Linked DNA regions of Drosophila melanogaster. The protein of the gene in region 1 interacts with the protein of each later gene in a pairwise test. Each region holds a gene or a part of one and is shown on either strand. Other genes may lie near its edges.

What was found. Proteins that work in one complex are often made in the same cells at the same time.
Region 2: the proteins of az2 (region 1) and B-H2 interact in a two-hybrid assay, tested with the Drosophila melanogaster proteins (one large-scale study listed by BioGRID).

What each region holds. Positions count from the first base shown.
Region 1 is NT_033778.4:7,509,274-7,515,673, reverse strand, and holds az2 (az2), read left to right. Parts: upstream 1-2,924; 5' UTR 2,925-2,978; coding exon 2,979-3,404; intron 3,405-3,470; coding exon 3,471-3,833; intron 3,834-3,889; coding exon 3,890-4,882; 3' UTR 4,883-5,052; downstream 5,053-6,400. Other genes in the region: CG1603 (uncharacterized protein), read left to right, coding at 1-31, 92-454, 511-1,347; mEFTu2 (mitochondrial translation elongation factor Tu 2), read left to right, coding at 5,563-5,967, 6,034-6,400.
Region 2 is NC_004354.4:17,312,900-17,318,600, reverse strand, and holds the start of B-H2 (BarH2), read right to left. Parts: upstream 4,021-5,701; 5' UTR 3,732-4,020; coding exon 2,690-3,731; intron 1-2,689. UniProt on the Drosophila melanogaster protein: B-H1 and B-H2 are regulated by members of the wg signaling pathway; wg and dpp. B-H1 and B-H2 are coexpressed and functionally required in R1 and R6 receptor cells and primary pigment cells for normal eye development.

The DNA of each region.
Region 1 (6,400 bases):
CAGGCGAACAAGACCAGGACAGGTTTTCAAGGTTAGTACGTAGTATATTTCACTTAAGCTGAAATTCATTCCACTTAACGGCGTCATTCAGTTCAAAGTTTCGTTTATTCGGAGCAATCCCCGTGTGCTGCATTTGATCCAAGCGTACAAAGAGCATCCCTGCCTGTGGAACCCTTCCGATGAACACTACCAGGACGAGCCTGCACGAAGCATGGCCTACGAGGCGATAATGGAACGCATGGACCGCAAGGCCAATGTTCTCTTCACCGTGGAAGAACTGAAGAAAACGCTCGAGCAACTGCACGTGCAGTACACGCTGGCTTTGGAGACAAAACAAAGGGGAAAGCTTGTTGGACTTGCAGCGCGTTACTTTGCCAAGTGCGAGTTCCTCAGTGTGGCGCCTGTTGTAACGCCAAGGGAGAACGAGGAGGACAACGACTTGACTGCAATTAAGGTAATAACTAGCCCACTATAATGTAGCTCTTTTCTGACCAAAAATCCTTTTTTCAGCTTAATTTTAAGGAGGAAAACCTGATAACCACCTCATTCATAGAGACCTATGCCAACTATCCCGTGCTGTATAATCAAGCGTTGCCAGACTTTGGCTCAATAGAGATACGTGCAGATGCCTTCAAAAGAATGGCAAAGGAATTCCAGCCAGTGGTGAAGGCCAACGAAACGGACGTTTACATTGCGGTCAACAAGCTGCGCCGTTGGCTTTACGATGCCATTCGTCGCCTCAAATCCAAGGAACTAATTCAGAAGTGCAGCAAGCAAGAGGTTCAGTATCTGCAAATGTGCAGCTTCTTGCCCGCCAAGGGTTCCGAAAGTCAGGTGCTGTACTGTGACTACTGCGATAAACGTTTCCACGGCGACTACAACCTACGGGTGCACATCGTCAAGGCGCACGAGGTGGGCGACCTACCGTACCTCTGCTCGTTCTGCCCGAGGCGCTTCGACCGCCACGTAGACATGGACCGTCACAAGCTGCGTTCCCACTTCGAACGCAAGTTGAAGTGCCAGTACTGCGAAAAATCGTTCGCCGTGGATACCGACCTAAAGGTGCACACACTAATCCACACGGGCGAGCGGCCTCACGTCTGTGACATCTGCGGCAAGACATTCCGGCTCAAGCTACTCCTGGACCACCACGTCAACGGAGTTCACCTGAACATTAGACCCTACAGCTGCAATATGTGCACCAAAACCTTCCGCAAGAAGTTCGAGCTGGCCAACCATATCAAAGGACATCTGAATATCCGTGATAAGAAGTGCGAGTACTGTGATGCTACGTTCTATGACCATTCTTCGCTTTCCAGACATCGCCGCAGCCACAGATCGGAATGAACTCTCGCCTTGAGGGACATTTTTAGAAACTGCTTTATTTTTTGATAACGAGAATCAGTAAGCTTCATTTGATGTAAATCAAGAATAAACTTACGTTAGAGTAGTGATAATAACAAGCGTGTTGTTAAGCACTTACGGCTTTTGTGTATTTGATAAGAACATGTGTATGATAATCATATGCACAAGCTTTTCCTTTTTCATACTTTCCTTTTCAAAATTTGGTTTAAGGAATGTATTATTCATAAAAAAAAGAAGAAGCCGGAAAAATAAGTTCGTTTTAAGATAAATTTGTATAACCGTTACTTGTAGAGGAGATATTAGAATAACATATGATTTTTTGGTTCTGGCTCTAGATCTAGAGCTGGCTTGAGGCTCTCCCGAGTTTTTGTTCAAAAGTCAGAGAGCGGAGAGCTCTAGAGCTAGCAGCTCTATTATTATTATTTTTGATCAAATGACGTGTACAAAATTTTATATATATTCATTTTTAACAATGTATTTATATTTCTTTTATGAAATATATTTTTTTAAATGTATTTTCCTTTTTGCCAAATTTATATTTTTAATTACAATAGTTATAATAACGATTTAAGACTTTATTTAGTTTATTAGCTTAAATAATGATGAAAATAATTTTTATACGGTACAAGATACTGCTCATAGACCCTTGTTGAAGTATGTCGTCAGTGCAATTTTAAATATTTTTAATTATAAGCAAAAATAAATAAGCGGTATTTAATTAATAACAACTCTTCTTAAAAGAATAGTCAAGGCATTAAATTTTAAATAACTCTGTAGTAGATCGTATTGCAACAAGCTTTGACCAAAACTTTAAATATGTATGTATGTACCTTCGTTTCTGAGATCAAAATTGATTTCGAGACGAAAGTTTTCTAGCACAAGTATGCTCATATACACTTTCTCGTTTGTTGTTTTAACACACACAAGGAAGTACATTCTATTTTAAGAAATTTACGCTCTCCATTTTACGCGTGCGGAGTGAGATCAATTTTGGCCGTCACCAAAAAAGTAACTGCATAGTTGAAAACCAATGTAATGGCCGTTACGCACCTTAATATTCTAGTGTCTTTAAAAAAAGTGTATACTACAATATATTCGATGAAAGGTGTGTAACATGCAGAAGGAAACGTTTCCGACAATATTAAGTATATATATTCTCGATAAGGACCAATAGCCGAGTCGGTCTGTCCCTGTCCGTCTGTCCGTATGAACTACTTGTATTTCCACTGGCTAAGTAAGGAGTATTTGATTGTCGGGGAATTCGACTCTTGTTCCGAATGGGAATAAGTACCAGAATCAGTCAACTAAAAGTAGTGTTTTTATTCCAGCTTAAAATGAAATAGTTTAAAATATATTTAAAAATTTATAATTGATTTAAAAGTTGATTTAACACAACTAATACTCATGTTATAGCAAGATTTAAATTTAAGCTGTATAGTATATATAATTATTTGTCTACATATAAAATATTTTCTAAAATTGAGATGATTTCGTTTCAATGGAATTTCCGCGGGTATCTTCCCAACACTGACCATCCGGTGCTTATCGATACCGATAAATGGCGTTGTTGTTGTGCTATTTGGCATTGTATCTTATTTGTTTGTAAGCAAATCATGGTGGTTTGCGGGAACATTTTGGCCAGGAACAACTTCGAGCACTTTGTTCTGGCGTGTGCTCACCAAAATGACTGCTACGTGGAGATGGAGTTCAAGCGGTGGCGAGAGTTCATCGTGCACGTCAAGGAGCACCTGGAAGCAAATCCAAGCATGCAGCAAGAGCTCACTACTTCCGAAGTCATTTCGTCAGCCAAATGCGAGGAGGAGGTCTCGCCAGCCAAGGTGTTCATAGTGGAGGAGCCTCCGGAAAATTGCCTGGCTGAAGACATGTTCGTTGACGTGCCACCTTCATCAGAGAACGACGAGAGCACCAGCCCGGTGGAGGAGGAGGAGGAAGAAGACGACGAGGTGGACTCCTCCTCGATGACAGTTGACTGCGAATTGGGCACCAGAAACTCCACACACTTTGCTCCTTTAACCAAAGTAAGCAACTGACTACACCAGCAACAAAAACCAACAAATTAAAGCAGACGTTTTGCATCCCGGCAGTTCAATCCTACGTTTTACCGACGCAGTCCTCGGATCACACAGTTCATTGAACTGTATAAGCAGCAGACATGCCTCTGGGATCCAGCGGATGAGTCGTACAGGGACAAGGAGAAACGCGCAAATGCCTATGAGGAGTTGCTGGAGCAATTAAAGGCGACCGTCAATCTTCACCTAACGGCCTATAAGCTGAAGAAGTGCATCACCAGCCTACACGCGCAGTATGCGTCGATCTCGCGGCAGAAGAAAACTCAGAAACTAACCAAGGTTCCACTGTACTACCATGGAAAGTACAGCTTTCTGGCAGAGCGCGGTAGTCTGGAGGATGCGGACAGCGATGATGTCGACGGCGATGGCAAAATAAAGGTGAGTCCGAGTGACAAACAGCTTTCTAAGCCACTCTAATGCGTTCCCCACGACAGCTGGTGTTCACAGAGGAGAATCAACTGACCACACAGTTCATTGATTTGTACTCCAAGTTTCCCCAACTGTACGATCCCGCGCACAAGCACTTCTGCAATCTAAACGTACGAAAGTCATCGCTCATAGAGATCACTGACCTGCTGACTTCGGAGTTTTCGTTGGGCCTGGTCACCCACTACGATGTCTACGACAGTATTCAGAGCATGCGCCAATGGTATTCGCGACGGATCAAAACCCTCACAGACGTCCAATGTGTGGGTCTCTCGCTGGCCGAGAAGCAGTACATCGAGCGCTGCAATAGCTTTATGCCCACTAAATCATTCCGACAGAAGCTTAAATGTGAAGTCTGCGAGCACTCCTTTAGCACAGATCACGCCCTGCAAGCACATCAGTTCCGGGATCATAAGATGGGCGATGGAGGCTGGTTTCGCTGCACGCTTTGCGAGCTGAACTTCGACCGAAAGTGTCACCTGCAGCAGCACAGCCAGCGTGTGCACATGGACAAGAGCTTTGTCTGCGAGATCTGCAGCAGGAGCTTTGCCTTTGGAAATCAACTGGCTATCCACAAACGCACCCATGACGAGAAGCACGTCGCCAAGCCATTTGTCTGCGAGTTCTGCGGCAAGTGTTTTAAGCAAAAAATCCAAATGACAACGCACGTAACTGCGGTTCACACCAAGATCCGAGCCTTCAAGTGCGACATGTGCCCCAAGGACTTCCTGACCAAGCGCGACCTCAAGGACCACGTAAAGGCGCACCTGAACATCCGCGACAAGGTCTGCGAGGTCTGTCAGAAGGCCTTCACCAATGCCAACGCCTTAGTCAAGCATCGCCACATCCACAAGGAGAAGACCCTGCAATGTTCGCTCTGCACGACGCGCTTCTCGGAGCGAGTTAGTCTTGGCGTCCACATGCGACGCACCCACAAGATCCTCAAGAGCTCTCTGTCGTCAAGCGACGCACTCTTTACAAAGACATTCCCTCAGCCTTGAGACATTTCCAAACCATGACAAGTATTTACATTTGTTAATAACCAGAAAATATGGCTATAGTGCCAAAAAACATGAATTTTTTAATGTTCTTAATGTATTATTACTCCTAAATATTTTTTAGTATTGAAACAAGAGATTTTACAATATATTTGTCCAAGCTTGCAAAAATGAAAACAAAAATGTTTAAAATGATTTCTATTATTCTATTCTATTATTCGACATATTTGAATTGTTCGATTTTTAGATAATCCATCTGAATTTTCTTAATAAAGACTACACTGAGCACTATGCATTTGTATGCCTTTGTGATATAGTAACTTGAAAACACAAAAAAGCACTGAATTTTGAAATTGAAGGTGTAATAATACTTATTTTTATATCTAATTTTGGGTTCTATTGGCGTAGCAATTGAGCATATCAGGAGTACATTTTGCCTGCTAGCCAGCAGAGGTTCCTTTGTCTGCCGTTAGAGAAATTTGTCCTACTATGTCAAATGTTAGAATTTATAGCATTTTTTTATATTTATTTCATTAACTTCGGGTAATCAAAATTTTCGAAGTTATCAGCTCACCTATTCTTGCGCTGTGCAGCACTGGCCAACAGCTGTTCGTGTTTTGGTTTTCCGCGACGTGCTCGGTGTTACGTGCTCTGCACCAAGATTACAGACCTGGAGAGGAGAAATGAGCGGACTCCTTCCGAAGTTGTGGCGCCAATGTGAAGCGGGGCTAGTGCGCCGTATCAGCCAGGCACTGATTGGACCCGGCGCCAGTCAGAGCCGGTGGACAGGGACCCGTCTCCTGGCCACCAGTGCGGATAAAAATCCGGCCCCGGGGCTGCGGGAGCTGCCCCACTGCAATGTGGGCACCATTGGTCACGTTGACCATGGTAAAACGACCCTGACCGCCGCCATTACCAGAATCCAGTCACAGAAGGGTCTGGCGGAGTACCTGTCCTACGACCAGATTGATCGGGCGCCCGAGGAGAAGGCGCGTGGCATAACTATAAATGCTTGCCATATTGGGTATTCCACTACAGAACGCACCTACGCTCACACGGATTGCCCGGGTCATGCGGACTACATAAAGGTAGCTCAGCCAAAAGAACCAACCAATGTTCCACCAATTTAACGAAACTTTCTATCTGATCTACAGAACATGATCTCGGGCGCCTCCCAAATGGATGGCGCCATTCTAGTGGTGGCTGCCACCGATGGTCAAATGCCCCAGACTCGCGAGCACCTTCTTCTGGCAAAACAAGTGGGCATCCAGCGCATCATAGTGTTTATAAACAAGGCCGATTTGGTGGACCAGGAGGTGCTGGAACTGGTCGAGATCGAGATGCGTGAGATGCTAAGTGATTTCGGCTTTGATGGCGTGAATAGCCCGGTAATTTGTGGCTCAGCGCTGCTGGCCCTTCGCGAAGATAAATCGGAGTTCGGGGTTCCGTCAATTGAAAAGCTACTTGAGCAATGCGACTCTTACATACCAACGCCGCAGCGCGATATCTCGTCCCCATTTA
Region 2 (5,701 bases), on another chromosome or scaffold:
GAAAATATCAATTTCAATATTGAAACTTTTTTCGTCTTTTCTTTTTTTTTTTAGCACTCGATGGAGGCATTGAAGTGGCAAGAGTTACCCCGTCCACCATCCAGACTCACCGATAATTTTTCGATATCCCCCCTTTTTTCGATCAGTGTACGGTTCGCTGGGCAGAGAACAAGCTTTTGGGTCAATTTCAAACGCGGTGCGAAGCAAGGATCGTCGTTTGAGCCTCGTAAAAAACGCCAAGGTGGGTAAAAAAGGATAAAAGAAGAGAAAGATCAAGAAAGAGGTGAGCAAAGACGAGGAGAAGGAGGAGGCGCACGAATGAGCAACAACTGTCGCTCGCACGCGTCTCAAGTGACACGCGAGTACTGAGTACATTAACATATCCCTCTCTTTCGCTGCACATCGAGCTATTTCTTTCTATTCCATTTTTAAACTAAAGTCTTGGGACAAAATAACTGCTTTGTAAATTTTTTTTTTTTTTTTTTGAGGATAATATGTCCACCGTTAACCTAATATTTTATAAGCTTTCTGATTTTTAAATAACGTCATCGAAATGTTATATTTTGAGAATAGCCTTCCTTGTATAACTCTTTTTTTTATTTTTCTCAGCGTGGGTTCTTCATAAGAGAGCGAGAGAGAAAGCGAGAATGCCAATGGGTGTTTTTTTTTTTTTTGTAGAGGAGACTGTGTGTGGGTTGTCCGGCTGCCCAGCCAGCAGATTAAATTAAATTTTGATTTTGATTTCTTCAGTTTCATTTGTGTTTTTATTTATCTGCGTGTGTGTGGCACGGCCTGGCTTGTGGCTCAAGTCAAGGCAATTTCGGTTTGGAAAAATGACAGCGGGAAGTCAAAACAGAAGGGGGTCACTTGGAGGGAGAAATCTCCGCTTTTGGTTATAGTTTAATTTGGTAATTGATTTTGGCACAAGTCAAAAAACACATATAAATGTGAAAATTGTCCATGAAATTGGGGAAGCTTTGATTGAAACAAAATTGCTTAGGGGCTTATAATTTCTCGTTAACAAAAAAAAAACTGAATTGAGACCGGGCAATTATTAAAATAACTAAAATTACTCGGCATTTTAGTTATCCAAAAATAGTGGAAACTCATTTTTATCATCCTTTGGGATTTCGTAAAAAATCTATAATAAAAACACACACACATCTTTTGTAGCAAACTCAACATTCTGACCTTTTGTTCTGATTTCCATGCTCTTTCAAATACATACATATATATTTGTGCACGTTCTCGGCCTTTCTAAATTATATTACTGCAAATCAATTGCAAACGCACGATTACGGCTATTTAATAGTAATTTGTTATAATTTGCATATCGTTTAAAAGCACTTAACGAGAGGAAAAAAGCAAAACTAAAGCTAGGCAACAAAATCAATTAGATTGTTGCATGCAAAACAAGGTTGACGGCACGCGGGGGGCGTGGCAGTCAAGGGTATTCTGTTGACAGTTTTGACTGGGAAATATGTTGAAAATAAGCGAACACTTGGCTAATCTGGCCAATAAGTTGAGGGGGGGGGGGGGGGATTGAAAAGGAAAAAACAGAAAGAGAGACATATACAGGTAGAGGAAGAAAGAGAGAGTGAGAGACAAAACCTAAGACACCTGCCTCAGACTCGAACTCACCTGTATTTTTCGAGTCTTCGCCTATCAAGCCAGCATTTTCCCCGTTCGAGCCGCACAATTTACGGTGGTTGTTGGTGCGGTTGTTGTTGGCCGTTATCTATTAGCCAACAGCCACAACAAAAACGACAAAGACAACAGGAAAAACAACCACGCTTAGCACTCAATATATGATATATCCCGGTCGCGGGGAAAATCGTAAATTTAAAGTGGTGCGAACTCAGGGGTCAGATGGATAGGTGTAAATTGGTTTCGAGATCCCCTTCAGTGTATAAACAAAAGTCCACCGTTTGGGTTTCAAATTAATACCAACCGAATCAAATTTATCAGCTAACATTTATTGGTGTGCATACTATGAAATAATTTCTATTCTCTATAGCCATAAAAGCCCTTTTCGTTTAATAAAATAGCTAATACAGCTGAACTTTGGTAAAGTTTATAAATAGAACTGGTTTTAATGGCAATTTGTATACTATAATTACTAGCTTCCTTTATTTCCTTTAATATTCTATGCAAATTTACTAGAGCTTAAATACATATATATTAGCTAGATTTTGATTGCTTTTAATTTGTACGTCAGGAACACGTATAAAAAAGCCTTGATTGGTATTTTGAAACATTTATATCTCGCATTATATCTTGTCTTTCTTTTTTCTTGCTATTTTGAATATCAGTTGTTCATTAGATTTCACTTTCCCATCCAGTCCAGTCCCTGAAATATCACAAATATCATATTGCTATATATATATATATATATATTCTCTATATGTATCCCCGCTTTGCTCTTCTCATATTACTTGATATTGCAATAAAGTGTCTATATACATATACATATATTCCGCACTTGGTGCTATTCTTCAAGATCCATCTGAATCTGTATGTCTGTCTCATGAACTAGTCTCTTCCTTTAGTTAGCAACTTAATTATTTCTGCTATATATATATATATATACTTTATATATTCCCGATGTAGCCTTATCCTTGAAATACAGCTTAAACCATATTGCTATACAGATTCATTGTATGTTTATGATATATGATCAGCGACTTACCGCAATCATCGCTGTCGCTGTCGTCGATTGTGCTGGCTTGATCGCCGCTAATGCTGCTGCCGGGTCCTCCGAGCAACATGTTGCCGTTGCCACTGCCATTGTTGTTGTTGCTGCTGCTGCTGTTGCCGCTGATGATGTTGCTGTTGGCACTAGCACTGTTGTTGTTGTTGTTGTTGTTGTTACTGGCACTGCTGCTGTTGTTGTTATTGTTGTTGTTATTGCCACCGTTACCGCCCAATTGTTGCAGCATCAGCGGTGACCGGGATCGCTCATCGTGCATGGGATGATGCAGATGCGGATGGTGCTGCTGGTGGCTCAGGTGGCTTAAGTGGCTCAAGTGCTGGGCAGGATCACCGGTCAGCCCGTGGCCATGCCGATGCAGTGCCTCCAATCGTTCCCTCTCAAGCTGCAGATGATGCGGGTGGGGATGTTGCTGTTGCTGCTGTTGCTGTTGCTGCTGCTGCAGCACGGCGTAGTGGGCGGGCGGAAAGTGGGCGAGCAGATGGGGCGGCATGGGGTGGTGGGCATAGGGATTGTTGCCAGGCGGCGAATGTCTCTCCCTATAGTGTTCCCGCTCCCGCTCCCTCTCCCTTTCCCGTTCAAAGCGCAGCAACTGCTGCTGTTGCACGATGTACTGTTGCAGGGCAGCCTGCTGATGTTGCTGCTGCTGCTGCTGCTGCTGGTGATGATGGTGTTGTTGCTGCTGCTGGTGATGGTGGTGATGCTGGGCGACCAGCGATTGCTCCCGCTCCGAGTCCGTCGGACTGCCACGCCCACCGCCGGAAGAGGCGGCTGCCAAGGCGGCCGCCGCTGCTGCTGCCGCCGCCGATGCGGCCGCGGCTCCTGCCAAAATATCGGTGATCATAAAGCGGGATCGCGTCGCCGTTGTGGCCGTGGCTGTCGTCGTGTTGCTGCCGACGGCCGGGGAAGCTGGACGCGGCATACCGCCGCCGACGGCAGCGGGATGATGAGCGGTGGCACTCGGTGCACTGCCAACGGGAGCTGCCGTTGTTGCGGACATTTCCGGTGGCATTGTGGTCATGTGTGGTTAGCCGACGACTCCGCTGCTGCACCTGCACTTTGCACCGAAAAAAAACAAACAGCTATGTATGTATGTATGGGTGACGCGAGTTTTTAGCACTTCTTCAGTTAATTGTTGGTAGCTGCTCGCACTTATTTCTTAAACTTGACAAGTTCTTGAACTCCGCTTTCGATTGCTCTTGCGTTGGTTAATGTTTTCTTGGCCCAACTGGGTTTTTAACGCAAATGTCGCTGAGGTGCGCACACTTTGTGATGTTCAATAGCGGAGCAACAACCGCTCGCCTTTGGCTTTCGACCGAAACTGAAACTTGCTGCCAGCAACAGCAACTGGCAGCAGCAGCAGCAACAACAGCAGCAGCGGCAACAGCAGCAACAACAAGAAGGCAGCAAAAACCAGTTGAGCCACCGCTTCCCATCAGCTGCCACCTGTCGTCGTCTCTTTTTCGCTCATTGACCTGGCCAAGTGGCGGTGTGGTGAGTTTCCCTCTCTGTCGCCCCGCGACTGCCTCTCGCTCGCACCCACGGCTGCCCACATTTATTGCCCGCACTTATTGGTCGTAATTGGCAGCAATTGACATTCATTAGGCTTCAATCAGCGGGACTCAAGTTGGCGGGTGTGGTGACTTTCCGCCGGCAATGGCCGCACGTCTAACGGTTATTTTTATGGCACGTGGTGGAGTTGGCTGTTTCGAACTACAACCGCACAAAAAGTATTGCAATTAACTTCATATCCTTAAATAAATAGGGTTTATTAAGTCTTGTCAATTTATATAAAAAGTTATTTGTACTTATTTGATTTCTATAAATCTGAACAAAAACGTGTTCGTTATCTTTGAGGGTTAAATATAGTCTTAGGGGTCAGTTGGTTATTTCATATTATTTTAGCTGCTTTCAAACAAAATTTGAACAGTGTTAATGGTAAACTTTTATTATAATAGCGAGTATTATTAAAAAATATGTAGCCATGCATCTTTAATATACTAATAACTTGTTATCTAACTTTCCAACTAAATATAGTTTGTACAGGAATGACAGAACATTTATGCAATATGCCTCCAGCAGTAGCAAAATCATACTGTTTTAGAAGGTTTCCCTGTTCAATACGACTTCCCATAAACTTTTTATGGCAGCTTGAAACTCAACACGATTATGGCAGCAGGGCAGCTGCCGCCTTTGCTTTTGCTTCTAATGTTGCTTTTGCTGTTGTATCTGATGGACAGATATCCGGATGGCAAGATGGATGGATGGGATGCTGTCAACCCTGTTTTGTGGCCAGGCCACGCCCCCTTAAACTGGTTTGTGCGAGCGAGAGGCAGCCGGCACGACATCTGTCTGTCTCGCTTTGGCCCAAGGGCTGGCCGCCTGTGGCTCGCCTCGGGCCCTCTCGCTCTGCGTACTTTGTTGTTGGTGTCTTTTGTTATTTTTGCGCTTGTTAACACTTTTTGTTTGGCATTTAAACAGTAAATTGGCAGCAGTTAAATGCTGCACGCTTTCCTCTCTGTCGCACGCGATAGTGCCCTCTCTTTCCACTCACTTCTGGTTTACTTCTTGTATCGATGTCAATTTGCTGCCTAATGTGCAAGTGAATGGGTCTCAGGGGGGGGGTGGCTATCCAAGAGGGGGCTGTATACCACTGGGGGTTCCTACCACCTCATTCCTGTGGACTAACAAGCGTGCTCCGGTGGGCAGGAGCTACTCGAGGAGGCAGTCTTTGGCGCCTGGAGGCGGATGCTCCCGCTGCCACATGTTTATTGTATAGTTAGCTTTTCAAAATGGCCTCACGGCAGCAATTGTCGGGTATTACTGGCCATTGGTATGTATCCGAGTTCCTGTCGCCAAACGTTTCCAGGAATAGAGTATCGTAATCATAGATATATCCCAAGCATTTACGACCTGACAAACGATCGGGCTGGAGCAGGAAAACGAAGACGTGACCGGGATCATTGGGTACAGTTTGTATTGCCTCTGAAT